3 linked regions of the Canis lupus familiaris genome follow. The protein of the gene in region 3 interacts with the protein of the main gene of each other region in a pairwise test. Links are inferred from orthologs where the notes say so. Each region holds a gene or a part of one and is shown on either strand. Other genes may lie near its edges. The genes, in order: NCK2, HEMK1 and CHN1.

Region 1 (10,424 bases), on a different chromosome or scaffold from region 3:
ACTGATCTGATGTGGACCACAGCCAGTCTGGAATGTAATAGCACAGTGAGCTGGTCGGATTGGCAAGAGTGGTCAAACAGGTATTCTGAGAGTCCATTAAGAAGAGGAAATCAAGTATAGCAGAGCTAAGCGATCTTTTGGAGGCAAAATCACTAAGTTCGGGATATGAAAGAAAGGGAGAATTCAGGGATGATCAAGTGAGTCAATGATGGGGATAAACTGAGAAGGCAGGCAGGTTAGGAGATGGTGACATTAAGATGTCAGCTTGTGGCATTCAAGAGTTTTAGGCAGGCATGACGGGTAAGAAGTTGGATAATTCATATAAAAGATAGACCAAAGGAATAAATGAATGAACCATACAGATTTGGAGCTAGAGGGCTGCCCATCCCATAGACATCCCCCCTGCCTTACATAATCATCTTTCATAACCCAAACTGGCCTAAGTCATGGCCACAGAGAATGCATACAGAGCTCAGGGTGGACCTTACCAGACTCTGTCCTGTATAAGCACTAAAGGGACCCTTGCTCACATCGCAGAGACCACAGGGTCACAGCAACAGCAGACCCAGAATGGATGGCTTTCCCTCCCACTTTGCTCTTCACCCAGGGCCAGGAAACACTTTCTTTGCCATACAAAACCCAGTGGGCGCTTTCCCTATATCTGATATTTTATCATGACCCTAATCCAAAAAAACCTACCTATACTGAGGAGAAGCATCCATAAATGCATCAAGTCAGCACTGATTTCTCTCCTTAATCGTCCTACCTAGAACCTAGTCAGCATCTGGAAGCCCAGTGCCAAGGATCCTTCCCCATTTTGAGGCTGTATGACAACTAATGAGCTACCATCCCCTCCTTACCTCTGCCCTCTAACCATCCCTGGCAGGTGTCCTCAAATAAGCAGTTGCTAGATCTGGGTGAAGGAAGCAAAAGGACTTCCTACAACAATCAGCCTTGTTTCTGAACACAGAGTTACACACTGGTATGAACTGAACTCCCCCTCCCCCCCAATATGTTGAAGTTCTAACCCCCAATGTGACTGTATTTGGAGACAGAGCTTTTAAGGAAGTAATTAAGAGTCAGTGAGGTCATAAGGATGGGGCCAAAATCGCACAGGACTGGTGACCTTGTAAGAAGAGGAAAAGCCACCAGAGTCTCTGCAGGCAGAAAAGAGAGGACACACAAGGACACAGCGAGAAGGTGCCCTCCTATAAGCCGGGACGAGAGACTCACCAAGACCTGAATCTGCCAGCACTCTGATCTTGGACTTTCCAGTTTCTAGAACTGTGGGAAAGAAATTTCTGCTTTACGGACTGTGCGGTACCGTTACAGCATCCAGAGCAGACTGATAGACATAATAAGCAAGAGTAAGCACCCTGTTGCAGACTTCCACAGCCATGCCAGCTCCTGGCAATGAGGCAAAGACAAAAGTTCACGGAAACTGCTCACCGAAATGGTCTCCTCTGAAACGGCTCATCTTCAAAGAATCAACTCACACCAAGAATCTGCTCCCAAGCACTATTTGTTCACATCTGCAAATGGCAAAGGGATCCACGGCTGCGCTACATGCCTGTGGATCAGGAGCCTCACAAAAACGTCGATGCAGCACCTTCTGGTGTTCCTTATCTACCTCCTGCTTAGCAGGGCCACAGGGCTCAGATGGCAAGGACTTACCTCAATTTCGAGCTCTGGTCTCCTCACACAGAAATAAGGACTAGAGCCCATTTTACCTTGTTATTTTTTCAAATATTAAATAGGACAGCACTGCTGGAAAGCAAACTGTAAACTATAAATTAATGCACGAGTATTAATATCGATTATTTTTATCTGACTATGGCACTTTGGATCTTCACTAACCACTAACCAGCCGAGCTATCAAGAGGAAACTGCAGTATTTAAATTGTTAATATACTTGAAGTTTCTTCCCTTAAAAACATTAAAAATATGAAGGGGATGAAAGAGTAAGGTGGTGCTAACGAACTAAGCCAGGGTAACAAATGCTTTGCCCCAAGTTTCCAGTTGGTGTTGACACCCACAATCTACTGAAAAGTACTATATAGAGCCAAGCCACCAGGTGGTTTATGCAACTGGATTTGTTTTTTGTTTTGCTTTTTGTTTGTTTCGTTAAGTTTAGCTTCAGGACTATAAATGATTCATGTGATTGAGAATTTACTCAAGAGAGAGGCCATCAGACCACATTTGCCCATCCTAGGGACAACACCTTCCACCATGTCACAGGTTCTGAGCAGAATGTACAAAGATTCTGGCTTTATATCTCAGTGGGAACCTAGAGCCCTAATAACTCAATAGGCTCAGAACTCAGCATTCATGTGTTCGGTAAGAATTTACGGCAAACCACGTGTTTAAGATACAAACACAGAAACCACAGGGCAGATTGTGACACGTGTGTGTGTGTGTGCGCGCGCGAGAGGGAGAGAGAGAGTGAGTGTGCGCGTGTTGGGGGGGGTGATATAACTTGCTAATGTTGATTACACCTTCAGAAGTATACATACGTTTGGATCTGTTCAACGTAAAATGTAGGAAAGGAAAGAACAGTCTAATTGTTAAAACTGTGTTACTAAAGTGACCTAAAGAAATTGGAAACTATTTTTACTTTAGCTGCATACTTTTGATAACCGGTTAGAGGGCTGTCTTGGCCTCCTTCTAAGTCACCTGAATTCAAGCACTGAACATACATGACAGCATTTTTAGCTTAGGCCCTTTGAAAATATGTCATGAAGGGTTTCCATCACTCATCTGAGAAAAGAGAAACAATTTGGAAGTGCCATTTGCTATCCCTCTGGACGGGAAAACTAATTCCCTAAGCCTCTGGGGTGAGTGGTGGGGAGTTTCCAGTTCATTTGTGAAATAAAGTTCAGCTTACTAGTTTTCCCGAACACTGTACACTGCCCTCCCCCTGCAGATCCAGCAATTTTCAGCTCCTCAGCTAGCCAGCCTTGTTCTGAATGATGGAGAACCCTCTCTCCCCCAGCACACGCTGCAAGTCAGTCTGGGCAGTTAGAAGCATGTGTATCCCGGAGAGCAAAACAGCCTCATTTAGCCAGGGCAAATTAAGCTAATGCAAGTTATCAAGTAAAGGACTCCAGTTATTCCAGGCAATCAGGGAGTCTTTGGGGTATTTCAAAAGGTTATCTAGTTTGTGCACACGCAAAGAAGATTTCCGGTGTATTTAATATGGATGATAGTGCCTTTCTCAAATACTGTGTACATAAGATCGGCTGTCAGTTGGAAAACCTCAATAATCCCCCAATGCAAATGACAGGGCAGGGTCACAGATTTCAGGGATGAAGAGACGTAACCATGGACCATGTCACAAAGCAAAACCCAAAGCCTGGAAACTGAGCACAGGCTATTAGAAATGCATCTTACGCAAGCCCTACCCATTTAAAAAGGGCCAGTTTTGGGGCGCCTGGCTGGCTCTGTCCAAGGAGCATGGGACTTTTGATCTCAGCGTTGTGAGTTCCAGCCCCACATTGGGTGTAGAGATTACTTACAAACAGAATCTTTTAAAAAATCAACCAATCAATCAATCAATCGGGGCCAGCTTTCCCACGAGTGGGCAGAGGTGGGTGATAGAGCACTCAGTTCTACGGGTGGCAGTTTGTCACCCAATTTCATCCACAGTTCCCATGATCAATACTGTTGTGTGTTTAGGTAGCAGCTGAGAAGCTCCGAGCTGAGCCCAGGTGAGGCCTATCGGAGAGGAAGCGGAGCCAAGCACCTCCACAAGCTCCCCGCCGCTTAAAGTTTTCAATTTCAGCCTCCAAGTAGCTGCAGCCAGAAGACCACAAACATCCGGTCTTTTCCTGCCATCCAAAGTACATCTAAGTAACCTCAAAAGGAGAAATAATTAAGGGAGGATTTTCCCATGTTGGTCACTGCTTCACTAGCCTGATTAACACCCATTTCTCGGGAAATCCCTGTTCCAAACACCGAAAAACCTCCATCAACAGCCCCACCTCCCCAGCCAGTCAAGCCCATCTCTTCTCTGCGCGTCCGCTGGCGACCATTATTTTCATAAAACGCGGCACATGCCTGAATCCTGTTCACTCACCCACCCACCCAGGAACGCCTGGTAGGTGCGTTAAGAGAGTGTTCAGAAGCAAAGTTTAGATCTGTTTTGATTAAGTTATAGTAGCCCTGGTTAATTTCATTTTCAGTCGTTCTAAGACTTGCAGAGCAGGGCTGCTAACGATATACCAGCAGTGGTATGAAACACACCCGAATTACTCTCATTCCTACCCAAATCCCTTCCCAGAAGCCAGGGCCTGAACCAGGGAGGGCCTCTCCTACCTGCAGGTCTGGGGCTAGGCCGTGCCCGCTGGCCTCCGTGGTTCAGTTTCTGTTTGGTTCAACGGAAGGAGGGGGCCCAGCGCTGGGGCCTGCTCATCCCCTTATACAGACACAAAGTTGGCAGATTCAGCCTTAAACCTGTTGGCAAAATAAACGAAAACAAATAAAGGGGAAACTGCCAACCGCAATTGTCTGAAGTGACAGAGGCCTACTGTCCCCGTCCCTGCCCCGTCCCTGAAGCCCTTACAAAGCTCGTGAAGAGTCAGGTGCCCGGTGTTCACCAGCCGCCGCGCCCCGCATCCCCCGCAGACCTTCCAAGGCGATCGTTACTGTCCACGCACGAAGGCGTTTCTGCAAAGTAGACGCCTCCACGCAACGCCACACTCGGTGCGCTCACGGGGGAGGTGCCTTCAGTGCCTTAAAACCCAACCACACGCCGGTTTCTTCCAGAACCACTTGGTGGTTAGATCGCCCCGAACACACCGGGAGGCCAAGCGTCGTGAGAAACTTTCTTCCAGGTGCGGGAGGTCCTGCCCATGCGGGACGCGGCGCGGAGCCTGGCACCGTCCCCGGGCCCCGCGGCCCCGCGCCCAGGCGAGGGCCTCCCCCACGCGGCGTGACAGCAGCTTTGTGCGGGGTCAGGAGAGTTGCCATAAGCACAGCAAGTTCTCCGGGCCTCCCGCGGCCTCCCGCGGCCCCGCGAGCCGCGGCGCTTCCTCCCGGGGCCGCTCGTCCCCGCGCCCCCGCGCCCCCGGCCCCCGCCCCCGCGCGCCCCGGGTCCCCGGTCCCGGCAGCGCCGCCCTGCCCCCGCGCCCCCGCGCCCCCGCCCGGCCCGGCCCGGCCCGGCCCGCACAGGGGGGCCCGGAAGGCGGGCGCGGAGGTGCGCAGCCGGGAGCGGGGGGCAGGCCGCGGCGGGGCCCAGGGCGGTGCGGGGCGCCCAGGGCACGGCCCCCGCCCCCGCCCCGCCCCCGCCCCCGGGCGCGCGCCGCCCCCCGCGCGGCCCAACTTGGCGGCCCCCGCCCCGCGCCCGCCCGCCCGCCGGCACCGCCTTACCTCCTGCGCCGCCCGCCGAGCGGAGGGCAGCGGCGCGGGTCCCGGGGCGGCGGCCGCACCGCGCCCGCCCAGGCGCCGCTCTTTGTCTGCGCCGCTCCCTCCTCCCGCCGCGCGGCGGACGCTGCCGGCCCGGGCGGACCCCGCCGCCGCCGCCGCCGCCGCGAGCCTCCCGCCGCTCCCGCCTCCCGCCGCCCGCCGCCCGCTCGGCCGCGCGGCTCCGGCCTGACGATCCCGGCGGCGGCGGCGGCGACCCTCCCCCGGCGCTGCGCCCGCCCCTCCGCGCGCTTCCTCCTCCTCCTCCTCGCGCCGCTCCTCCCCGGCCGCGCGCGACCCCGCCCAGGGCCGGCCCGGGCGAGGGGGGCGGGGGGCGGGGGCCCGGCTCCCACCTGGGGCGGCGCGGGCGGGCGGCGGGCGGCGCGGGGACCCGGGGCTCGGCCGGGGCGCGCGGGGGGCGCGGGGGGCGCGGGGCGCGGGGAGGGCGGGGGTCCCGGCTGCCCGCTGCCCGCTGCCCGCTGCCGGCTGCCCGCGCGGGGACTGGGGCAGCGCTGGCGGCGAGCGGACGGCAGGGGAGAGAAAGGCAGCAACTTCCAGCCCCCAGTGACTGCCGCGCGGCCTTTCCATCCTCTTTTTGTTTGATTTTCTTATCGCGACGCTCTAGTTGTTTGGCGGCCGGCCCCCTCCCGGAAGCATTCCCACGGCACCCTCGGCAAGGCAGGCCTGGGGTCCATCAGAAAAGTGACTTACATAAAAATGTCACTTCCTCTCTGTAATTGCCTCTGGGCATTTTTATTTATTTGCCTTGTATCTATTTACTTTCCCAAACAGACACTTTTGTACTCCATCATTCCCGTCGGAAGCACTTCTTGAGAGCAGAGAGGACACGCGGCCCCGCGCCGCCCCGCCTGCGGCCCAGCCCCCCGCGCCCACCCGGCAGAACCTGGCAGGCGCTGCCAGCGGCTGGGCCCCTCCCCGCACCCCCCCCCCCCCCAGGCCTTGTCACTACTAGTGGGACTGGTCCGGTCACCTGGCCACACGCAGGGACTTACCTGTAAACAAATTCGGAAGATTAAAACCCTGGAGGAAGGGGAAACACAAGTTGTCCTCTAACAGGCACATGCATCCAGCTGCCTGTGCTCCAGTCTCCTTCCCACACGGCTTCCCAAAAGGAAACCCGACTATTCAAGTGATTCTGATTTCCTGGCGGAATAGCCTGGATCCATGTTAATGAGATTCTTTCTTAGGCTCCTGGCTTCTCATTACTATTAAGGCAATAATAACTTACCCAAGGTGACAAGGCTGAACCATTGATCCTCTGCCTTGTTCACAAAAGGAAGTATCCAGGTTGGGTAACCAGAACCAGTATACCTTTGAAGTCACAGTACAGCCTTTGACTATCTGCTTTTTCAACTGCGGAACCTTGCACAGGTGTTTCTTAACCGATCTAAAATTTAACAAATGGAGAGATCGTGTTTACCTAGCTCCCATGTCAGTCCCTGGCACCCTTCCTGCCTGTAGGGCACACTCTGTAGGTCACTAGCTGGGAGTAGGTACAGTGTACTGAGCAGGGACGGATCCAAGATCAGGGAATCTGGATAGCCTCCTTCTCTTTGCCCTTGGGGAAAGAGCTGCCTCAGTTCATCCTTTTGTCTTACTAATAAGGAAGGCAGAATTATAATAAATGGTCTGACCCAATTTTAAATTAGTTTACCCAAAATCCATATAATAACATTGACCCAGTTTTTAACTTGTCTGCTTTGTAAACCATCACTGAATCACCGTTCTTGAATTCCTCTTCCTTCTTCCTTCCTTTACAAAGGTAGAGTCCCCAAGGACATTCTCTATCTAAAATCCAATGTCGCTTTCTTAATCTTTATCCTATGCAGTCTTCAGAAGCACGTGGCATTTCTGCTATTACCTGAAATTCAGTTATTTTCATTTATCTAACACAGCTACCCTTCTGAACTTCCTACATCATTCTCTTGGAGAGCATATTGACCTCTAACAGTAATATTCCTGATGCAGAATTTGGCCCCTTGTTTTTATAATGATTTGTGCCTTTTTTGTTTTTTTTTAAGAGAGTTGATCATTTTTTTGTATGCCTCCAGTCTGGATGTTCAGTGATTAACTCTCAGATCTGTAGCCTTAGAGAATTCCCCAGATTGTCTGCAGTCTCTCTGGGCAGCTCATCATCTCTTCAATATCACCAGGTTCAGAATGAAATTTATCCTCTTCCCAAAGTAGCTCCTCCTCCCACGGTCTCAGGCTTGGCCAAGAATCCACCAGACATCTCAGCTCCTTGGAGAAACTTCACTGCAATCTCATTTCTTCCTTCCTTCCCTCTCTCCAAGATCTCCCCAAAGGCAGTGAGGAGAGAGTGCAAGATGACCTTGGGATCCCTCTCAGTCTAAATCCTCATGATTCTGAGTCCTGGTGCTGTTGAAACAGCTCTTTGTATCTTCTTTTCTCTTTCCAGTGACACCATCCAAATTTTTACATTGTTACTGATGACACTTATGAAACTTCTTTTATATGTGTGTGTGTGTGTATCTGTGTGTGTATAAAATAATTATATATAATATATATAATAGTATCATGTGTGAGTTACAGGTATACATATACAGAGTATTATCCTCATATACATATAAAAAAAATGGAAACAGTAAGTGAAGGAACTGGGGTCAGAACTAAACATACTTGACTTCGAAACTCGTGTTTTTTCCAGTACACCCCATTGCCTTCCAAGTAGCCTCCTGTTGCTCACTTTCACCCACCTCCCAAATTTTGGGGTATCATTGTCATAGTAATCTTCCTAAAAATTGCTTCTATTTTGTCCTGCCCCTGCTCAAGAAATAACCATGACTCCCCATGGCCTACCACAGTTCCTCAAGAGTTCTCTGACAGCAGAAGATGAGCATTTGCTCCTGAGAAGGCTGAGGAACTGAGCCTAAGAGGCCTATATTCATTTCTTGGAGCTGTCTTTTTTTGTTTGTTTGTTTCATGAGAGGCAGAGACACAGGCAGAGGGAGAAGTAAGCTCCCTGCGGGGAGGCCTATGCAGGCCTCCATCCCAGGATTCCGGGATCATGACCTGAGCCAAAGGCAGACACTCAACCACTGAGCCACCCAGGTGCCCCTCCTGAAGCTGTCTTAATAAATTACCTCAAATTGTATGGCTTAAAATAGAGGAGTTTATTCTCTCAGTCTTCTGGAAGCCAGAGTCTAAAATCAAGGAGTCAGCATATTCTCTCAGAAGGCTCTAGTGGAGAATCCTTCCTTGCCTCTCCCAGCTTCTGGTATCTCCAGGCCTGCCCTGACCTGTGGAAACATTACTTCAATATCTGCCTCTGTCTTCCCATAGCCTGATCCCCTTCTCTCTTGCCATTGGATTTAGAACACACACACACACACACACACACACACACACACACATGCACGCACTCATACCCTGCCACCATCTAGGATGATCTTAAGATCCTTACCTGATAACAGCTACTAATACCCATTTTCCAAATAAGATCACATTCACAATTTCCACATGAACATATCTTTGGGGGCCACCATTTGACCCACTGTGAGACCCAACATGGGGGAGACGTTTCTTTTCAGCTGATGCTGTATCTGAAAATGTATGTCTCCGCATTCCACTCTGTTAGTATGCTGTTAATATTGAAATGTCTTCCATAATGAAATATTGAAAGTGAAAAAGTACAAACCTTGGGAGCCTGGGTGGCTTAATCAGTTAAGCTTCCATCTCTTGGTTTTGGCTCAGGTCATGATCTCAGGGTTGTGAGGTCAAGCCCTGCACAGGGCTCTGCACTGGGTATGGAGCCTGCTTAAAATTATCTCTCATCCTTTCCGTCTTCCTCTCCCTTCCTCTCCCTGTCTAACAAAAAGAGAAAAGAAAAAGTATAAACCTTTCCCTCCAAATCATTTCAACGTTAAATCCTAAGACTTGTCTTTCTAACGGTTCTTAAACTTAGTCCTACCACAAAAATCTCATTGTTGACTCTGTCACAATCTAAGCTATTTACTCTGGTCACTCTGCTCCCCACCCTGTGTCCCACTTAGTCACACCAATTTCTACTTTGACCATATAGACATAGGAAGACATTTCTCACCCCACTCTTTCTTCAGAGCTCCATTCAGAGACCCCTCGTTAGACTCATGGGAAATCCAAGGTAAAGTTGAGGGTGTTGGGTCAGACTTCAGAGGCATGCAGCCTGCCTACAAGCCCATGACTTAAGATCATTTAACCTCTTTGGGCCTCAAATAGTAATAACACTACTCTTACAAAAAGCTGTGAGAATAAGTGAGATAATGTAAACATGTTTCAACTGTCTGTCGGCACATGGTAAACACTTGTATCAGCTTTTCTATGACCTTCTATCTTAACATTCAATTTAATTAAACATATCTTGTATATGTCTATTTGCATTATAAGAGATAATTCAGGAGAAATAAAAATAAGTGGAGATTTTAATCTCAGAGGAAGGATAAGACCAGGATACAAATAACTCTAATATAAAACTAAATATGAAAAACCCCAAGCAAAATATGTTCTGGGAGTCAGAGGAGTCTTTAGATTTCATGAAAGGTGGTAGCATCAGGAATGGACCTTGAGAGACCTTGGTGGCCCTCTAGACAGCCCCCTTCCTGGTTTTAAGGCAGCCCCTGGCTGACTGTGGAGGGGAGCAGAGTGGGTTTCTCCATCTCTTCCCTCCCCAAAGCCCTGTAAGAATGAATGGTCTGAAATTGACCAGTAGAACCTTCTCCCTCAAGACTTTGAAACTGAAGAGGGTGACAGAGGGGAGGAAGAGGAGATACAGTTTGCTTTTACAGGAAGGGGTCCTGGAACCTCCTTACAGAGGCGTTAAGCTGCTTGGTTCTCACCCCTTCTCCCAGCATCTCCAGCCCCACTGCAAGCTACTTGATATTCTTACCATAAATCCCTGTTCTGTTTAAGGCCACCAGAGGCACTTCCCCTTCCTGTTACCCAAACCCCTAAATGACACAAACTATAAGAAATTTTTAAAGATTTTTAAAATGTTACTTATTTGA
Region 2 (10,603 bases), on a different chromosome or scaffold from region 3:
GATCTGAATCAGAGTTAGCGTCAACCTGGCCTCCTTGGGGGTCTTGGCAGAGAGGCCCAAGCATGGTTAGCTTTTGTGTGAATGCAGAGGGGATGACTAAAGCCAGACAGCTTCATCTCCCTCTCTACACCTCAGATTCCCCATCTGTAAAACTGAGCCACTGAGGATAACCAACCTCATCGGAGTGTCTGAGGGACTAAACAGAACCGCATTCATGAAACACAGATCCTGTTCCCAGTACGTGTTAAGTGTCCAATAACCCCAGCTAGGTCCTTTATAGACAGTTTTCTGTCTCGTGCTCATGGCAATGCTAAGAACCACACCTGATGGTTCCTGGCCACTTCTTCTGTGACTGGCCCTGCTTCCAGAGCTTTCCTTCCTTTAATCTGTTGGATCCTCACAACCAGCTCATGAGGAAGCCAAGGCCCAGGGGTCAAGGCCCCTCCTAGAGCCCAGCTTACAGCTCATAGTGGCCAATCATCAGGAGCCAAAGTTTCCCCAGCTTCTTCCTAGAGCTGAACTTAGGACGCTCCCAGGGAGGTTCCCAGGCCAAAAGAACAGGGAATTCCCTTCATAGGGGTGGGGCATAGTAGAGACAACAGAGTCCTGCCTGAGCCCCATCCACACAGGGCATGGGATAAGTGGGCATGGAGTGATGGGAGGTGCCTGACTGCACCATACCTGTCTTGGAGGCTGGGGGACACTTCTAGACACTGTCACTTTGGAAACAATGGTCTTGTCCACCATCTGCCACCTACGGGGGACTGTGCATGGAAGCCAATAGAGGGAAGAGGTGAGGGCTAGAGGGGGCTGCTGCTGCCCAGAAGCCAATCGTTTCTAATGAGTAGTGGAGTGAGGCCCCAAGTAGCTGGCATGGGGCTGGAAAAGGGCAGTGTCCCTCCTTCTCAAAGGCAGCCCTGAGGAGTGATTGTCTTACTTGGGACTCCTGGGATCCCAGGCAGGGCTGGCTCAGGGAATGGGCAGAGGGGTCAGCAAGTGGGTGCTTCCATCATCTATAAAGAAGTCTACCTCCTCCAGAAAGGCTTCCTCACCCCCTGGCAGGGTCTCTCTCATGGTTTTCCTCACCATGAGTCTCAAGTCTAGGATGCGGTTTGCCTCTCCCACCAGACTGAAGGCTCCATGATGGGAAGACCAGGGATCTAACCCATCACAGCGTGTCCCACAGGCAAGGTCTGACCCTCAGGGAGGCCTCCTGACTACTTCACAAGGGCTTTGGAAAGCTCTTTCTCAGTGATTGTGGGAAGTTACCCTCTGAGTTTCAGACTCCCTCACCAGGTCCCCCCAAACCTCCAATGTCAACAGTCAGGCTCAGTGGCTCCAGGTCACTCAGATCCGTTTTCCATGTAAGCTCCTCAAGTGCTGAGTCCCAAAAGGCATTTCACTCTTAGAGGCCCCCCAATACCAGGAGCAGAGAGCTCACCTGTCCCTAGGTAGCAAGTCCAAGACAAGTAGAACTTGGTCAGTGGGTCCAACCCTTTCTATTCCCCTCACTTGCTCCCGCCAGCGCTGTAGCAGGCACTCCGGGAGACTGTAAGGGTGCTTGCAGCAATCTGGCCCCACAGTGTTGGGAATGACATAGCGCAAGTAATCTAGGGCTACAGTGGAGACTGTGGTGTCAGCGCTGAGGCCACATACTGAGCGGTTGATAGAATAGCTGAGACTTGTCAGTGGTGTGAACTTCTTTTGGTTTCCTGGCCACTGACAGACCTACTCTGGTTGGAGAATGACCTCTTGACCAGCCTCCTCACAGAGACACCCCTGACCTCAGAGACGCATACCACATATATGAACGGCCACCCCAGGCAGCATGTGAAGTGTAAGACTGGGCCTCCACTGCCCCCAGTGCCCTCTAATCCCTCTGTTACACTCCAGACCACTCGAGCATTATCTTAGCTTTGGGACCACCTGGGTGCTAGGGGTAGAGACCACCCGCAAAAAGTCCAGAAACTTTCCTCCTCACCAAGTGAAGAGCCTCCAGCCTCCATCAGCATGAAATTGGTGGCTCTTTAGGGGAGGCTGAAAGCCAAATGGTCACAGACCCAGGGCACCTCCTCCAGGTAAATAAGAATCCAAAACCATGATGGGATGGGGGATGGGAGAATGTGGGGAACAGGCAGCTTTTTGGCTCTACTGGAGCCACTGTCTCAACAAGACCCCAGACCCCCTCAAGAGATCAGCCAAGGCCTCAGCAGGACCTGGGATGGGGGATGGGGAAATGTGGGAAATAGGCAGCTTTTTGGCTCTGCTGGAGCCACTGTCTCAACTGGACCCCAGGACCCCTCAAGAGGTCGGCCAAGGCCTCAGCAGGAACTGAGTGCTCTGAGTACCCTCCATTAGGATCCTCTTGGTAGGCAGCCCCAGGAGGGTGGCACTATCTCCCGCAAGCCAACCACAGACAAGGCGTTGAGCCTCCTACACCCCACAGAGCCTCACCTCTCCAGGTTGGATAGGGATGGCTCACACTCCCAGCCTTGGGTTTCCCACTGCACACACTGGCAGGCCGAAGACTAAGCCACCCTACCACCCCCAGGGAAAGCCCAACTCATTGAGCCACATGCCACATACACCTTCACATTTCTGACTTCTGCCCCCGTTAACCAAAACTGCCTTTCAGTGGATGGAAAGAACATAGGCACCATGATCTCTCCCCTGCAACTCATTCTCCCTACTCCCTGCCACAGGCCACGTCCTTTCAAGTTCTTGGTAAAGCACCCCCAATGTGGCTTCACAATGGGGCAAACCTGGCAAGTTCTCAGAAACGTCTGTACAGTGAGGTAAGGACCTGGCCTCCCAACCACAGCCTCCCCCTCTGTCTTCCCTTTCCCCTCCCCCTTGCAGCAGAGCTGCTTTCTTGGCTCAGACCCACAGAGGAATGGGGGCCGGGGGGCCGATGAGAGCTGGAAGTCTACATCCGATATTCAGAACCCTGGAGCACATGGCTGGTGCCAGATCAGCCCTGAGGAGGACTCAAAGGTCATCACTAGTTTCCCTCCCCTGCCCTGACCCTTAGCAGCCTCAGAAGACTCTGAGTGACCTCCCAGCCAAAGTTCACATGCCTGGGAAAGACACTGGGTACCCTCCCAAGAGGCTACAGGTGGCAGTTCACATCCTGCTCTGGATCTCTGCACTCCATCCCAACTCATCCAATCTCAGATAGAGTAGCCCCATGGGAAGGATGGGGCCCCGACTGAGTCAGGAAGTCTAAATGCTGCCCCTATGCTCCTCCCCTTGGCAGCCCTGCGACTTCAGGAAGTTCTCATATTCCCTACTGTCCCTCCCAACACTGGGCCGTAAAGTGAGGACCTGGCTTCTCAAGCACATGATATGGAAGCGAATGGGGTCAGAGAGTTTCTTGGCTCGGGGGGAGAGGCTAGGAAAGTGAGGAGGGGCTCTGGGTCCCTTTTTGGGCAGGTGAATGAAGCCTGATCTTTCCCGGGAATGGTTGTATGCCTGGGTACGTTTCAAGAGACACCCCTGCTCGGAACCTGGTGCCTTCTTGCCCATCAGCCCTATCCATCTGCTCTGCTCTCTCTGGCTCCCTACAGTGTTAGGGGGAAACCCAAGAAGGGCCACAGGGAGCATCTCTCCCAGAATAAGGGTGTATCACCAAGGAATAGCACACTGGGGCCACACAATCCCTATTAATAGTAACATGAGGGACACAGGTGATTACCTGACCAGACAGTAGATCTAAGAGGACCAAGTCAGATTCCCTCCCTAGGCTAGAGGCCCTTAGGTCACACAGCTGTACCAGGCCTCTGGGTGTCCTGCTGGAACACTATCCATTTCACCCATGCTTCCTGAGAAGGAAGAGGGAATTTTTTCCCCCACCATGGATTGGGTAGGCCAGGCCTGGGACACGAGGACAGTCAGGGAAGCCAGCAGGAGACCTCTGTACTCTTGGCCCCTCCTACTCAGCCAACCATGAGACACCAGTAGCCAGAGAAGGCCTCTGAGGACAAAAATCATGGGGTCCCAGCGCCCCCTGGAGGAAATATGGGGCAAGAAAGGTGCTCAAAACCCCACTGTTCTTATCCATGCTGCCCTGCCCTGGTAGCACACCTACCTCAGTTTCCGGGCGAGGAATGAACACTGGGGGGGCCATCTTCAGACTGAGCCCTTGAAAGTCCCATTCACCCAGGATGTACTGCACAGGCATCCTGCAGAGGGGGCAGCTGGGTGATCATCAGTGCCAGAGCCTGGACCAACAGGACCACGACTGGGTTGAGAGATACCCCTTGCGGGATACCAAAAATGTCAGGGTCATGCTTCCTGTACCCCAGGACTCTGAGGCAAGGCATTCCCTCCTTCCCTTCTACTTGCCTGATCCCCCTCTCATCCATACCTTATACCAACACCTCCCTAGTCCTCGGATACTTTCTTCCTCCTGACCGTGCATGAGTCGGCCTGGTGGAAACCAGACACCTGTTCCTGACAGAGTCCTCAGGTCTGGCCCATGGGTGCTCACCTTTGCAATCGGCGGCTACTTAGCTCCTGGATGCACTGCAACTGCCAAGGGGTCAGGGGCTGTGTCCAAAGTTCTGGCCTCAGGCTCTGAAACTGCCCCACAGAGAATGTGAGTGGCTGACTCCCCAATCGAGGGCCTGACCCAGGTTTATGTGAACAATACCTGTGGGCCCAACACCAACCCATCCCTGGACCCCTACTGCCTGACACACACTGTAATAGTTCATTGGATGAATAAATAAGTATCTACTAAAAACATTCCTCCAGAAAAACCCATCACTCTCAACTCAGCATTCTCAGTGGGGCAGAAATGCCTGGATGTTCTTCCCTAGGTCTCTCCCTCCCTCCTCTTCTGCACTCTTGACAATACTGCACTTAACTGTTTTGGCTCCAAGGACATGAGCCACGATGTACTCACTGGATGCCTGGGCCTCAGGGATCCCCCTCTTCTCAAAGACTGCAGTCCAGTGCCTGACCAGTTCTTTGGCATTCAACAACCCAGCCAGAGGCAGATGGGGTTGCCATGAGCTGAAGGCCCAGCCCCTGGTCCCTCCCCTCCTCCCAGGGCCAGACAGGAGGGCCCAGAGCATTCGGCCCCCAAGCTCCATATCTTGGGGAATGATTCTCCTGAACACTCCCAAGTCCGTAAGTCTTCCTTGTGATGTCAGTTGCCAAAGATGGTCATGGACACTGGTTCCTCAAGGTGGTTCTGCTCCAGATGTGACTGCTGCCCTGGGAGAAGGAAGGAGAACCAGGAGAGCAGCTGAGCCTTGTGTGACCCACTCCCCTCTGACCTGCTGCCTGAGACAGAGCATGCCCTTGCTCTGCTAACCTCAATCCCATTTTAGACCCTCACCCATCTATTTCATTCTTCTCCTCTGTGACCAGTTATGTCTTCTTCATGTTTTTAGCTGAAGTGGGCTGAATCCGGAGCTCAGTCCCTGGCAATGCACCGTGGCCTAGGATTGAGGTTTGAACAGATCTGTTCCACCTAATGTGTGTGACCTTGGGAAAGTCATTACTTCTAAGTTCCAGTGTCCTCCTCCATGAAATGGGGGGACAATAACACCAACTCCATAGCAAGCAGTATATTATACAATGAACGTCAAGGGCCAGGAACCAGTTCAACACACAGAAGGCACTCTGTTGCGTGCCCTTAACTACTTACAAGAAAGAGAAGACTGCCTTTGCTTAGGAGCTTTGCTTTTGACATTTTCTTGTACTGTGACTGACCTGTATGCTAACCCCCCGCCCCCGCAACCCCCGTCTCACCCATAATCCTAAACATCAGGATAAACTGCCGCCTTAAAAAAAAAAAAAAATTATCACTTTTGTTAACTTTAATTTGTCACAAAGTCTAACAGAAGGGTTAAAATTAGTGGTTCCCCTGGGAAACGAACTAGGGGTGGTGGAAGGGGAGGTGGGGGGGGATGTGACTGGGTGCCGGGCACTGAGGTGGGCACTTGACGGGATGAGCACTGGGTGTTATTCTATATGTTGGCAAATTGAACACCAATAAAAAATAAATTTATAAAAAAAATAATTAAAAAAATCAAATTAGTGCTTCCCTTTCCCTTGGCACAGACCAAGGTCCAAACTAGCATGTATTAATAGAGCCCCTGCTGGGTGTCACATCTCCAAAGAGAACCTGAAAGAGAAAGGAGGCTACAAGAGGGAAAGCCACTGGCCTACCATCACCTCGCTAGACGTGTCCCACGCAGGACACAAACCCAGGTCCCCCGGACTTCAGAGGCGGCTCTGCCCACTAAGCGTTGCCCCAGAGGCGCCCGAGGTCCGAGGTCAGGGACGCAGCTGCTTCCCTCTCAGCTCTGCAAGGCATTATTAATGACCCAGGCGACGTCGCCTCTCCCCAAGCCCGTTTCAGCATCTGTATAACGCGGGGGGAGGGACTCAAGGGTGTGGCAGTCCGGGGGCCCCGTCCCGGTTCCCACTCCTAGCGCATACCTGCCTGGAGGCTTCCCCCCGCCGGCCCGCCAGGCTGCGCAGAGGCCGGGGCTCGGCTCCCGGATATGCCGGACCCGCGCTGCGCCGAGCGTCGGAGAAAAGGGTCGGGCGGACCCGGCCGCTCAGCTCCAGGGTTCCTAGCGCTCCTGGGTTCCGCCGGGGGAGCCCTGGGGACGCTGCAGCAGCCGCGCGAGTCACGCCCGCAGCCCCGCGGGCCGGGGGAGTGCGTGGATGTGCGGGAGCTGGCTCCCTGCGGGCCGCGACCGGCGATTCTTCCTGAAGGTCACGGAAGGGACGCGCTCGCAGCCCGAGGGGACTACTCCGAGCTGGCGTTTGGGTACCCGGCCGCGGCGGCGGGTCACCAGCCAGCTCGGGTTCGAGAACCGGGGCGCCGGGTCGGTCCAGGGGCGTGGTCTAGCGTAGCCTCCCGCAGGCCCGGCAGCACGTGGACGGATTCCAGGGTTGGGGGCGGGACCCCGTGTCCACTACTCGGCCGAGGAAGCTGCCGGAGCCGCGCTGGCGGCCGGGTGGCCACTAGACCCCAGGACCGCTCTGGAGCCTCTTGCTCCCGGGTTTCAGGGTTTGGGGCAGGAAGGTTCAAAACCGAACGCCGGAGACCTGAGTTCGAATCCCGACCGTTGGCAGCTCACTCTGTGGGCCTCAGCTGTTCCTTTTACAAAATTCATGACAGTGTCCCACCAAGTGTGGTGCCGACGCCCTACCCCATCAGAATCTGTTGTTAAGTAGATCACTGTTAACTGATGTTAAACATGCAGTTTCCTGGACTGGGTCCCAGACCGGAGGGGAAGGGGGGAGGGGGGCTCAGGGATCTCCTTGGTAACAGAAGCTTCTCCGGTGATCCCCATAAACTCCTTTGAAAACCCGAGGATTAGAAGGTATCTGAGGGTCCCTCCCCTGAGATTTCGCGCCATAGATGGGGGCTATTGTTAGGGGTATATGTAGTCTTGCTTGTGTCCGGCCGACCAATAATAATAATAATAATACCAAAGGCTCCCAACTTTTCTGGACTAAGCTGCCCTATTTTTAGCCCGAAGTGGGTGTCGTTTACCAAGAGCCCTCTCAGTAGAGCCCTTCTAAGCTGGAAGCCGAGCCCCCGGGAGGGGAAGCTTGTCGGTCAAGGTAACAAAGCAACAGAGGGGGGAGCCAGAGGTCAATACAGATCCGAGGACTCCCAGTACAGTGCTCTCCCCGAGCCTCCAGCATCCGCCTGCGTCCTGGGAGCACGAAGCCATCGGCGGAGGTGGAGCTCCGCGCGAGTTCTGGGGCAGGAAGGGCTTGGCCACCCCCACGGACCCCCACCCGACCTCGGCGTAGCGCACGGGTGGTCACGGGTGGTCTCCAAGACCCGAGACCTTGTGTCCGGCTCCTACTGGGGGCGGAGCCAGATCCCGCGGCGGGCGAGAGGGCCGGCGCCCGGCAGGCTGTGGGCCTGGCAGCCAATCGGGAGCCGGGGGCGCGGAGCCGGCGGGGAGGCGAGGCGCCGGAGCGCGGGGGACCCGCGGGGCTCCCGGCCTCGGCCCCGCCCCCGCGGTGGGTCCAGGCCCTGCCTGCCCGCGCCCGGCGGCTGAGGCTGGCTGAGCCGGCGCTCGCGGCTGCCGGCCGTGCGCTGCAGCGGGCCCAACCCGCGGCTCGGAGCTCACCCGGAGGGGGAGGGCGGACGCGGGGTCGGCCCCGCCGCCCCCCGCCCCGGCCTCCTGCCGATCGCCAGCACCCCTAGCCTTTCCGGCTGAGCTCGGCGCCCCAGAGAGGATTAAGTAAGTGCTGAAGCCGCAGCTTCTGTGCAGGAATGGAGGAATCACCGAGTCGCAGAGGCGGGGATGGGGATTGGAGCAGGGAGGACTGAGGAACCTGGCAGACAACGGTATGCGGGTTCTCGAAGGTCGCGGTGCCAACCCATTTCGCCCGTTTGGACCCCCTTCTCTTGCCCTTTGGACCCCCAGGCAGTCCCAGACAGTGAAGAGCAGGGCCTTTTTCTCTGCTGTGGACCCAGGAATAAACAGCCCAGAGCAAGAGTTAAGGGTCAGGCCCAAGGTCACGGTTTGGGGTCAGAGGCAGAGCCAAGAAAGAACCTGGGACTGCTGTCGCGTTCAGCCTAGCCAGAGAGAGAGGGCAGAGAAGGATGAACCCCCACATCTCCCTGCCCACCTTGCCCCTTCCTGAGGAGCAATCATTAGTGTGTACGTGCCTCACACACACCCATGCACCTGCACAGGGAGGCACCCCACAAACCCCCATGAGCTAGTGCAGGGATGCATGTGTACAGCCAGGAGCTGTGTATCCCCCCTCTCCCTAGGCCCCGCCCTTCTGCACCTTGGCTGGGACCCTGTCCCACCTGGCCTTACCGGGGGCCTTCTGGCCTGGGAAGATGTAAGCCACACCCTGGTCTGGGCCCATCTCTCACCCTCTGTTCTCAATGGCGGAGGGTGAGGGAGGAGAAGCACCTCAGAGTGGGAGCCCCATCCCTGCATGTGAATATATGCTCCCTGCTCCCCTTGTCTCCCTTGTCCCTGGCAGCCCCTAGCTCCCCATGGAGGTCCAGTGACCCTAAGAGCCTGCAGGGAAGCCCTGCCAGAGGACCTGACTTTAGCTGTCTCACCTTCCTGCCTTCTGGTCTCTCCATGCTTACCATCCACCCCCCTCACCCCTGTTCCACAAACACAGCTTGGATTACACAGTGGGCTAGGTGGGGAGCTCCTGTGGCTCCTCTTCCCAAGCTCCAAGAAGCAGTTGGTGGGGGGGGGGGGGGGAACGTCTATATACTGGGTACTTACTGTGGGCAGGGGTTGCGCTGAGCTAAGTCTTTGCTAGGGACAAGTTCATTCTGACATTTCAATGACCTTATGACCTGTGAGGCTGTGAGGGAAGTGGGGTATTGTTTGTTTGTTTGTTGTTAATCTCTACCTAAAACCCAGGAGATCTGAGACCCAAGAGGTGGAGTGACAAGCCTAGGGTCATCTGACTCTTGGGCAAACGTTTCCCTCCTGGAAAGGAAAAAGCTGCAGTATTTTTTTTTTCCTCCAAGAAGGAGGTAAGGGATATGGGGGGGCAGGGAGTGAGGAGGTGGGAAATGTGGGGAGTAGAGGGGTGGAGAAGTGGGTATTTTGCAAGGGAGAGACTTTCTTTCAAATCTCCCGACTACTTTTCATATCTTCTAAGTATGATCACTATGGTTATCATACCCTCAAAGAAGGGGCAGGGCTTCATTTTCACCTTCCTAAATCCACGAGGGAGCTATACTTAAATAAAGCATATGTCCTGATGTCCCCTGAACCTGCCTTTGCCCTCAAACTTTTATTACCCCAGTACCTCCAGAACTTGGGGGTACTTGATGTCACCACTGAGTCCTGTCCTAAGCCTCATGTTTTTCATTCTTTTCCAGCACCCAGGGGGCCAGGGAGCTCCTTTTCTCCCAGGAGGTGGCAACCTGCAAGTATAGGAAGGGGCCACGGGCTGGGACACCACTGATGTCAGAAGCGAGTTGGCAGGTTGACTGACCACAGGCAGTCGCTCAGCCAGGGCCCTGTCAGTATCAGCATGAACTCCAGGATCCCCCCTGCCCGGGGCTGGTTTAGCAGTAGCCCACCCACCTCTGAGCCTGACCTGGAGCCTGCCACAGAGGGGCCAGCCTCCGAGACCACCACCCTCAGCACAGAAGCTACCAGCTTTAATGACACCAGAATCCCTGATGTGGCTGGTGGCACAGCTGGCGTGGGCACAATGCTTCTGTCCTTTGGGATCATCACCGTCATTGGACTGGCTGTGGCCATGGTAAGAGCTGAGAGGCTGGGGCTGACCCAGGTGGCCGCCAGTTGGAGGAGCATGGCTGGTGTTTTGATTTTAGATACTCTAATCAAAAGAGAATCGTCTGTGAATGATAGCACAGGATTCCCCTTCTCCAGGGATTTGTCCACTGGGGATCCAGAGACCAGAGGGGCTACCTCCAATTGGAAGAACGAGAGAGGGTTCTGAGGATACATGGCAACTTGAGCTGGGCCATGAGGGCCACGTAGGAGTTGAGGAGGAGGGTGTTCCGGGTGAGGGTCCTGATGGGCAAAGTTTGGAGGCAGGCAGGAGGTTCTGTGAGCAGCAAGCAGGACAATGAGGCAAGGGGGGGAAGGGGTGTGATAGG
Region 3 (9,813 bases):
GAAATTCAACTCTCATCACCAGATCCACTTAACATGCCCCGCGTTTAGTATGACTACATTGGCTGACCTTTCGCCTTTGAATTCCAATACCTGACTCACAAGCCACAGTGCAAAGATACATTGCTTCTCTTTTCCTCCCCTCTTTGCATTCTGCTGTAGTTCCACTCTGTTACACCAGTAATATAAACTTATTCAGGGACATCTGAAAAAATTCACAAAGAGGTCATCTTTGCCATGTGTTGACTATAAAACCAACCAGTGCGGAGATGTTCCTATACAAGTTATTTGGATTACCAGTTATTTATTTAGCCTCCTACAATGCATATTTATTCTCTTTTCTGTTTTACTTTATTGTTTGATACATGTTCTGTCATTCTCTGCAGAGGCCTAACAGTAGGAGAAAGGGAACTACAATTCATTGAACCTAGTATATGTATTTAGCTTTGACTTAAATATGTTTATGTAATCCTCACAACCAGGTAGAGAAAGATGATGTGATTCCTGTTCTCTAGATGCAGAATCTGAAGAAGGATTTTCTCAAATCACTCAGCTTAAAAAGTGGCCATTCCAGGATTTAAACTTATTTTGTCTGGTCCCAAAACCTAAGGTTTTCTGTTAAACACACAGGACCCACATTTTGCCTTTCTTTCCCTGGTCAAATCTAATTTCAAGGCTGCAAGGGCGCTTTTGTACTTGGGACATAAGCAGTAGTTCTGAGACCTTATTTAAGCAGGGAGTTCCTCGGTTTTCATATTGTGACAGAGACATTGGATTGACTTGCTTTCACGAATCACTGCAAAGAAATGTACCTTTTCCATTTAAGATCAAGGCTATACACATTTTTATAATAATTTTTTAGAAATCAAACTGAAGATAAATTCTTTAAAATTCAGCATTTCGGAGCACCTGGCAGGCTCAGTTGGTAGAACATATGACTCTTGACCTTGGGATCATGAGTTAGAACTCCACATTGAGGGCAGAGTTTACTTAAAAAAAACAAAAACAAAAACAAACATAAAACAGACCTTTAAAAATAAATAAATAAAATTCCATGTTTCATCTTGTGTTTCTATTGGCTTGTTTTTATGTATATCTATTTCCTATTGAGGTAATCAAGGGAACAGGAACTTTATTCTGAACTATCTGGGTGTGTTGTTAAATGTTGCATAAATGACAGTCTGTAAGTGGCAAACTTTTACAAGGATGAATTCTTTCTTCGCCCTTTAGATTTGGCATCTCTCTTTTTATGGCTCTTATTTGTAGACGAGACACATCCATTCCCCACCCTCCTCAAAGATTTTCTGTCATGCCTTTCAAATCACAGAAGAGAAGACAACTCTGCCGGTCTCTGCTGTGATGCTGTTCTTTATGTAACCTCCAAAGTGAAAGAGAGGGCGGTACAGGGTAGGCAAAGAAAGCATACAGTTCCTGTAGTGAAAATAATGCAGCTTTCTTAGAAAAAAATCAATCCTAATTCCAAAATGGAAATTCATTTTCTTGTCCTTTGAGGTTAAGTTTTAAATCAACCCATATTATGAATTACTTTAGTTATCTGATCACCTTCCTTAAGACTTGAAGTTTGATTGTACCTTAAGCCCAAAGCTGAAGTGCCAGCTGAGGAAGAATTGGGAATTGTATGTAGGGTTTCTTGAAGTTGCTGTGATAAAGAGAAAAGGACAAACTTACTTAGTCTTTTTTGCCCAATACCTAGAGGTAGCCAGGAAATCCTCTCCTTGGTTGGCTTAGGAATAGACCCATTGTGAAGAGGGACCCATTGTGAGATCTGCTCTTTCAGTCTAACCATCCCAACCCACATGAGGCTATGCCAGCCATCTTTCCTTCTGCCCAACGTTCCCATACTGCTCAGATTTTAGAAGAAATTCAAGTGACAAATGCCTTCCACCACTGCTTGGATAGTCTTAAGTTTAAGTGTCATATGCACTGTAAAATTATAAGGCTCTGAAGGAGTAAAATGGACTATTCCTTCATTGAAATGCCTCTGAATATAATTGAAATATAAAAGGACTTCATGTTAAACAGTGTTATGAGTGATTATTTTAAGAATCTTATAAAAATTATAAAATGGCTCTCCATGTTTATTTCTCAAAAGCAGATATATATTAGCAAAAAGGAAATTATAAAAGCAGCATATTAAACTGAAAAAAAACTTTTACATTTAATTTTGGTGTAGAAATTTTACCTTCCAGTTTTTTAGACTTTCATTATAATGAAAATTTACTCAGGAGAAATTTATAACATTACAGGAAAGTGGAGAATGGGAAATTGGAATTATATGGATCATTCACCTGAGTATAAGTCAAAATATAATTGCTATTAAAGAACCAAAATGTGGATAAATTTTATTTTAGTAGAAGGGCCATCATGATCATAATGCCAGGTTGGTTCTAGATTATCTGTTCTGGTTTGTTGTTGTTCTGTGTGTTTTTAACAATAAAAATAAATACACTATTTCTAATTTGTTTAGTTTTTAATTAGGCTCACTTGAGACCACCTTTGGGAAACCATGATACTGGCTGTTGGTGCCTGTTGGCATCAGCTTTCATAAAGTCAGGAAGCAAAATACTGAAATTATCATAAAACTAAAGTCATTATTCTCCAGTTTTTAAAGTATGTCACCAAAGCATGACCCAAAAGTGAGAACAGGAAAAAAAAAAAGTGAGAACCGAATATCTATAGTCTAGTAGTATATGATTTCTATGCCCTATATATATTGTAGATATTTCTTGTTTAGACTCAACAAGGAGACACAGAAAAATGACTCTGTAATAGGGAAGAGCAAGTCATTGACCCATGGCTAGTAATCACAAAAATATGTGTCTGTCGCTCTCTTGCCCTACTCTATGGCTCAGGTTCTGGAATCAGCTCTACTTTAAATGGGTTGCTGGCATCATACTTAGGTGAGCCCTAAAGGGAGCTTTCCCATTAAAAGACATGAATCATGGGGTCCGTAGTATGTTGAATATTTTTATTGATGAACTTGAAGAGAACATGTTAATATAGAAATTTCATCCATGATGGAGTTGACCAATTGAATATAGAATGTGTTCTAATAGGATATGGGCTTTATTTTCCTTGTTTTTCCTACAGGATAATGAAGTGGTTTAAAAAGACAAACAAGAACATTTTTTTCCTTCTAGAGGAGACATGCTTTTGGCTAGTTATCCCTAGTTGTTGCAAATTCATTCTTTGTGTTAAAAAGTTTTATTTTCTATATTCCAGACGATTTATAGAAATTAGCCACAGTTTATTTAACAAAGAAGACACACACAAACAAAGCAATAGTTTTTTTTTTGTTGTTCTTTTTTTCTTTTCGGAAAGAATTCAGTTGCTTACTTTTCTTAAAAACATCTTTCCCATTTCATTGAGGCAGATTTGGAAGTCAAACCAGAAACTTCAGGCTGTACTACGATGGAAAGCACTTCGTTGGGGAGAAGCGCTTTGAGTCCATCCACGATCTGGTGACTGATGGATTGATTACTCTCTATATTGAAACCAAGGCAGCAGAATACATTGCCAAGATGACGATAAACCCAATTTATGAGCACATAGGATACACAACCTTAAACAGAGAGCCAGCATACCAAAAACATATGCCAGTCCTGAAAGAGACACATGATGAGAGAGATTCTACAGGCCAGGATGGGGTGTCAGAGAAAAGGGTAAGCTACCATGAAACCACACTTGATCTTCTTCTGTTCGGGGTCTGTATGAAAAAGCCATGACTGCCAGAAGAGGCTGGCTTCATAGAGCTTTGAAAAAGATGTGCATTTTCCTTGATGTCTGGTTTCGTTGGTGCTGAGCTTTGCATATATCTAAACCTGGTTCAGTTATGTCAGGTAAATGCTTGTGTTCCCTATTATTTCCTATTTCATCAGTTTCATGGTTTAAAACTATGCTGAAAAAAATGCTCCCTAATTAAAAAAAAAAGTTCAGGGCTTTGGGTTAGAACCATAACTGTGGTCAAGAAAATATAGCTATATCCCATCAGAAATTGAGGGGGTCATGTAATCTATCAAAACTGCCTTTTCATTCCCTTTATAAATAGTTCTATTCTTTAGCAAAATGATAGATATCCACACTTTAAAATACATAGGATTAAATTTAGTCTATCAATAACTATTACACTATTTTGAGAATCAGTCAGTCCTGAGTAGCAGGAGCGTTTGTCTCCTGCTGGACTCTTATGAAGTAATTGAATCAGAAGATTTATTTTAATTATAAAAGACAACTTAAGTTTTTCATTTGGCATATTTTATAACATATTTAGTTAACATTAGAAGTTTCAAATCCTTAGCATTGATATTATTTTACTTTGAAAATTGTCCCTACTTGCCTCCTTATCCCCAAGAAAATGAGTCAAAGAATTTCCTGATGTTTTATTGTGTAGGATGTAGGTAGGAGAATTTTATGTATTCTAACTAGAATTGTGTTGATCCATTCTTATATTTTTGAAACTCTCCAGTTGCCATGTTAAAGAAATGCAGTATTACATAGTGCTTTGAGCTTGGATTGTGTCATCAAATAGATTTGTGTGCAAATTCTGCCATTTTACCTGTTGTGTGAGCTTACTTCACGTCACTTAATTTCTCTGTGCTTTGATGTTCTTATTTGCAAAATGGTAGTAATCAAGTTGTGAGAATTGATTTAAGGAGATAGTATGTGTTAGATAATCGAACAGTGATTGGCACATAGTAAGCACTCGAGTTTGGTGGTAATGTTACTTTAACAGCCATATTACCTCAAGGTGTAGTATCCTAAAATACTTCTAGTTGTCTTAAAGTTTTTAGGTACAGAATGGAAACCTAAGATGTTCATTGTCTAGCCTGAATTTTAGTTTTTGGCAAATCTAATTCAAAGTGGCACTTTGTGGGTACAGAGAAACCAACTTTTGAAATTACAGATTACAGAAAATGGTTTTCATATTTGTTAGGAACTCAGATCTTTTTTGGAAGTAACTAGAATTTAGAATCCTAAAAGCATGCTATATTTAATATTGTTCTTTTCACTCTCTAATTCCCATTTTCTCACTTTTGGTTATTTTCCATTCATGGCATCTTTCAGTAATGCTTGCATTTAAGTATCTCTAATACTGAAAATATGTTTTATGCAACTATGATAAACTGTTCTAAGTTAACATTTGTGAAATATTTTTATAGTGTGTGCATGTGGGGTTTTTTAGAGTTTATCGGCCTAATGATAACCTTTGTTAATGTGTTCTGGATATCCTTTTCAACATCAAGAGACTTCCGCTAACAACACTTAGCTATTTCTCATTGGACTGGTCGTTTAAACTCATAGGATCTTGGTTGTCCGTCCTACAAAGTGAAAATAGTATTCACAAAGGAAAGACACTGAGATAGATAATGCCTAAAGGACCCTTTTAGCTCTAGGATCCAGGATTCCCCGTGTATTCTGGCAACATTACATGTTAGATTGCCTGGATTGTCTTGTGCTGATGGCCAGTGATAGCCACATAGAGTGAAATAGCTGGCATTGGGAACTAGTTCTCTCCAGCAGTACATAATTAAGAATCATTTAAAAAATTACTCTTTGCTTTAAACTGCATGCATCTTAAATCTAGTTGGCTTAAAATCTACTCACTCAAAAATAGATTTATTTTATTTATAGGTGTCATCCAACAGGACAGGGATGATGACCTGTTCAAGAGGTGAAACATTGATTCCCTGTCACAGTTGATGACATTTGTAAGTAAAGACAATCGTGTTTAATTGATTTAAAATATCTCTTGCCACTAGTATGGTTTAGTAAATATTTTACTGGGTCCTGAATAGCTAAAGCCCATTTGTCCATGAGGGGCTTGCCTTTTCTTCAGAGGCAAAAAGTGTTGATTTTGCAGGAGTTAGTACACTGTCATAGAAAGGTTTCTGGTATTGGAATTAAGAGCTAGATTCCAGTTTCTACAATAGGAATTGATTTTATGTGTCACTTTGGGCGAATTGCTTTACTTTTCTGAGACTGTATTTCCCCACTTTTAGCAAGAGAGCTTTAGACTAGATGATCTCCAAGATGTGGTTCTTGTTCTAGTCTGTGATCCTTCAAGGAGTGTAGGTGTACAAGAAAGAGAGAACACAGTACTAGAAACAGCACCATACTTGGGCCTTGAAAGGGGAGATCTATTTTTAGCTTATCTACCAATTGATTGTATCACTTTGGGACAATCTCCTAACCAGTCTGGACTGCAGATTCTTCATAGATAAGGGGTTTTCTATAAGACAGTACTTTTACAAGATTTTCATTATAAATACTTGCTGCAAAAAGGGCTTTGTGCTCAAATAGGTTTGATTAAAAATAAAGTTGTTTTTTTTTTTAACTTACCTGTTCCTTTTCTGTGGGCTTCTCAGTTTTGCTAATAACCTAGTATGTATTATGACTCTCCTAGAGTGTTCCCAAACTCATCTGGATCGCCCTGCCACTGTTCAGAAAATTATTTAGGAAAATAGTGTTTTCATGAAATCCACTTGGGGAAATTCTGAACCAGATGATCTCTTAAGATCTTTTCTTGTTCTAAAAATCGAAGGATAAAAATTCCGTGTGGATTTTTTTTTTTTTTTCTTCAGTACTTAAGGTGTAAGTTGAGCATCTGAGCTTTGTGGATGGTTGTCAGAATTGTTTTATGGCCAGGAAGTTTTTTGCCAAAGGAAATGAGACCTGAAGGTTCTTAGCTGTCTCTAGGAAATTTTGTGGCCTGCTGTGAGGGGAAAAAATTTATTTTGAGAGACATCTATGTCATTTTTTTCATTAACTGTTTAAGTTGCTTCTCCAGCTTGAAATATCAGAAATTTAAAATTATTTTTTAAAAACATTGAGAGAAATTTAATCATGAAGTTGTAGCATGTTGAAAAGCTGGACTTCCTTCTCTTGTAAAATGGCTTAACTTCAGCATCCAGACTGGCCATGAGCCCAGCTTTTATTAGTGGCTTTTTCAAAATTTATCTTGGAACTGTATTTGAATAGTTTCTTTTTCCAAGTTGTCAGTATAGTATGCTCGCTTCAACAGATACTGGACCAATGGCTGAATGCAACAGTTTTTATGATGATTTTATACTTATTAATAATATAATTTTAAATTCTCCAAAGCCATGCTTTTAAAAATGGCTCATAATGTTAATAATATAAACTGTCAAATATGTAATTTGCATTTCAGAAACTATGCTATGAGTCAGAACTCTGAATCTGGCAAGAACTTCTTTACTTTTAGATTTAGTCTTTTAAGCCCAAAACTTTCTCACATATAACAATGACCTGTGATGACAAGGGTGTGAAAAATCCATTTATTGGTTTTATGGAACTTTACTAGGCCAAATAACCTTTATGTGTCTGTGTGTATATGTATTTTTCTTCTCCTGGAAGTTTGAGATGGTTGCAGTGTTTTGCATACTGTCATAATAATTTATTCTTAAGGAATTTCTTTTATGTTTAAATTCCACTTTTTAAAGACTTCTTTGGAGAGCACCAGACTGCATATGTATTGAAAGGCCTTGTAAAATATGAGGTTGAAATGTAATCAGGGCCTTGCCAAAAAACTGCCATACCTACTGGAATTCTCTGGGTACCTCTATGAAGTGATAAGAGTCTATGTCCCTGGGAATGGTGAAAGGAGCACAGGAGGTCCTGTCTGCTAATTTTCTTAATTCTCCCACAAAGCAACCTTTCTAAAAGTCTTTACTTTGCTTTATATTTATAAAATATAAATATATACATTATTTATGTATTATTTGTATCCATATAATCCTAATGTAGAAATCAGCAGAGAACCATACTTCAATTTCATCATTACAAAAGTAACAATATAAAAAACTGTTTGAATTCTTGATTCTCTGCTTTCCCACTTTGTAAGACCCATCTTTTCCCCCTTCCTTATTCCTCCCTAACCTGTGCTCCTCTTGTTCATCTCCTTTCTAACCCTACCTTATCAACATCCATCGCTCTCTTCCTAGTCAAATTTACATGCTCATGTTTCCCCTGTGGCTTGTTAAGGTTTGGATCGGTCATTCCAGGGGTGAACAGGCCCTTGGAGAACTGCCAGATGTGCCCAGGGTCACCTATTTATATTAAAAAGCCAGTTTAATAATTTATGAGGGAGACTACAGTTACTGTGCAGAACTTTCATAGTGGGTTTGTCCTCTGTTAATATCCTTCTTAAGACTCAAGTAGAGTAATGGGGTTCCTGGGTGGCACAGGCAGTTGAGAATCCAAGTCTTGGTTTTGCCTCAGGTCATGAGTGCAGGGTCACTGGATTGAGCTCAGCATGCAGTCTGCTTGGGTTTCTCTTGCCCTCTCCCTCTACCCCAACCCCCTGTGCACGCACTTTCTCAAATAAATAAATCTTAAAAACAAAAACAAAAAAAAGAAAGAAAGAAATCAAGTAGAGTTTTTAAAAAATCCTACATAGTCAGTATATAAGTATATATTAGTCTGTGTGGTCTTGAGCAAATCCTAAATCTCTCTGGGTCTCAGTTCACCTCAATGTCTAAAAGTGCTTCCATATAACGCCACCACTTGGCTGGCATTATATGACTGTTGTCCTCTACTTTGCACACATAATGAACTTAAAAAGAGAACAGTTTAAAATAAAATTTATAAAATAAGAATCATGTAGTGTTATATTGTACCTAATCAAAAATAAAATTAAATGCCTATATTTTGTATTTAGCCTATGGTTAAATAACATAAGGATATTTTTTTAAATAAATAGTTTTATATCACTGTTTTAAAAAAATAAAAAAGGATGTTTTCATTGCTTGAAGTGTCCTCCAGGTCCACAAGATAACATCAGATGGTTCCTAATCCCTTCATCTGATAGTGAAGTTTCTCTTGTAGTAATGCTGTGATACTTCTAATTGTGTCTAATCTGGAGGCCTATGTCCTCATTTCTTTTCATCTCCATGAACTAACTCCTCTCCCATCAAAATTAATTGTGTTTAATTCAACATTTATTGCGTGCCACCTGTTTGTAAGGAAATAACCTAGGCTCTGGAAGGGATGAAAGATGTACAACATATAAGCCCTGTCTCAAAGAACTTACATGTTAATGTGTTCATTGTTTCTACCTTATTTAATTAGCACTTAGGTATATTGATAGCAAGAAGCAACCTGCCTATATAATCTGTATAGTATTACAGTTCAGTAAGTATTAAATTGGATTTACTCTGATTTGAGTTTGCTTCTCTAAAAGCCCAGCAGATCACAGAAAACACTTTTATAGACAAACACTAGTTTTTCAGAATTATGAATCAGAAATCAATATGACATTCCATCATTTCACTACAGTTTCAAGTCTGAAGTCCCTTAGTATTGTTTCACTTCTGTTTCAGCACCTTGGATTTTATATACACAGTTGTTGATTAAACAAATGAACAAACTAGTATATTTTATGAATTCAGCCAAATCCAAGGCCCTGATAGAATCAGTCCTGAGACAGAAAAGAGGGTAATTCAAGTTGATTTCCTACTTTATATTTTTTCTTTTAGGAACTCAGAATATTCCTAATTCCACAGATAAAGCATCTGAGGTACAAAAAAATTGTTTTTATGACATGAAATAGTTTGTGAAAGGTGGTGGCTAGATGTACCTTTTCAGGAATATGTACAAAGAAGCCAAGATGGTAGAGTGGCATCTCCCCATAGTTATCAGTCATGGGTTGGGGACAATCTAGACCCCACCAGAGAATCTAATAATGATTAAAGAAAACTGACATGGGGCCCAGAAATTTTTTTGTATGAATCTCATCTATTCTTCCATTTTATCACTCACAGAAAGGATTAGTAACTC

The links.
Region 1: the proteins of CHN1 (region 3) and NCK2 interact in binary tests that used the Homo sapiens proteins (3 or more experiments, as listed by UniProt). The two-hybrid records come from large-scale screens. The link is inferred for Canis lupus familiaris from reciprocal best matches to the Homo sapiens genes CHN1 and NCK2.
Region 2: the proteins of CHN1 (region 3) and HEMK1 interact in binary tests that used the Homo sapiens proteins (3 or more experiments, as listed by UniProt). The two-hybrid records come from large-scale screens. The link is inferred for Canis lupus familiaris from reciprocal best matches to the Homo sapiens genes CHN1 and HEMK1.

The regions. Positions count from the first base shown.
Region 1 is NC_049231.1:38,780,270-38,790,693, forward strand, and holds the start of NCK2 (cytoplasmic protein NCK2), read right to left. Parts: upstream 6,760-10,424; 5' UTR 6,650-6,759; intron 6,529-6,649; exon of another isoform or gene 6,414-6,528; intron 5,435-6,413; exon of another isoform or gene 5,368-5,434; intron 4,946-5,367; exon of another isoform or gene 4,562-4,945; intron 4,453-4,561; 5' UTR 4,315-4,452; intron 1-4,314. UniProt on the Homo sapiens protein: Adapter protein which associates with tyrosine-phosphorylated growth factor receptors or their cellular substrates. Maintains low levels of EIF2S1 phosphorylation by promoting its dephosphorylation by PP1.
Region 2 is NC_049241.1:39,198,921-39,209,523, forward strand, and holds the start of HEMK1 (MTRF1L release factor glutamine methyltransferase), read right to left. Parts: upstream 6,606-10,603; 5' UTR 6,454-6,605; intron 6,318-6,453; exon of another isoform or gene 6,181-6,317; intron 5,448-6,180; exon of another isoform or gene 5,345-5,447; intron 5,221-5,344; 5' UTR 5,097-5,220; coding exon 4,869-5,096; intron 4,582-4,868; coding exon 4,490-4,581; intron 4,221-4,489; exon of another isoform or gene 4,182-4,220; coding exon 4,088-4,181; intron 1-4,087. Other genes in the region: C20H3orf18 (uncharacterized protein C3orf18 homolog), read left to right, coding at 10,009-10,242. UniProt on the Homo sapiens protein: N5-glutamine methyltransferase responsible for the methylation of the glutamine residue in the universally conserved GGQ motif of the mitochondrial translation release factors MTRF1, MTRF1L, MRPL58/ICT1 and MTRFR.
Region 3 is NC_049257.1:19,183,612-19,193,424, reverse strand, and holds part of CHN1 (N-chimaerin), read left to right. Parts: intron 1-3,391; coding exon 3,392-3,680; intron 3,681-5,702; exon of another isoform or gene 5,703-5,717; coding exon of another isoform or gene 5,718-5,726; intron 5,727-9,813. UniProt on the Homo sapiens protein: GTPase-activating protein for p21-rac and a phorbol ester receptor. Involved in the assembly of neuronal locomotor circuits as a direct effector of EPHA4 in axon guidance.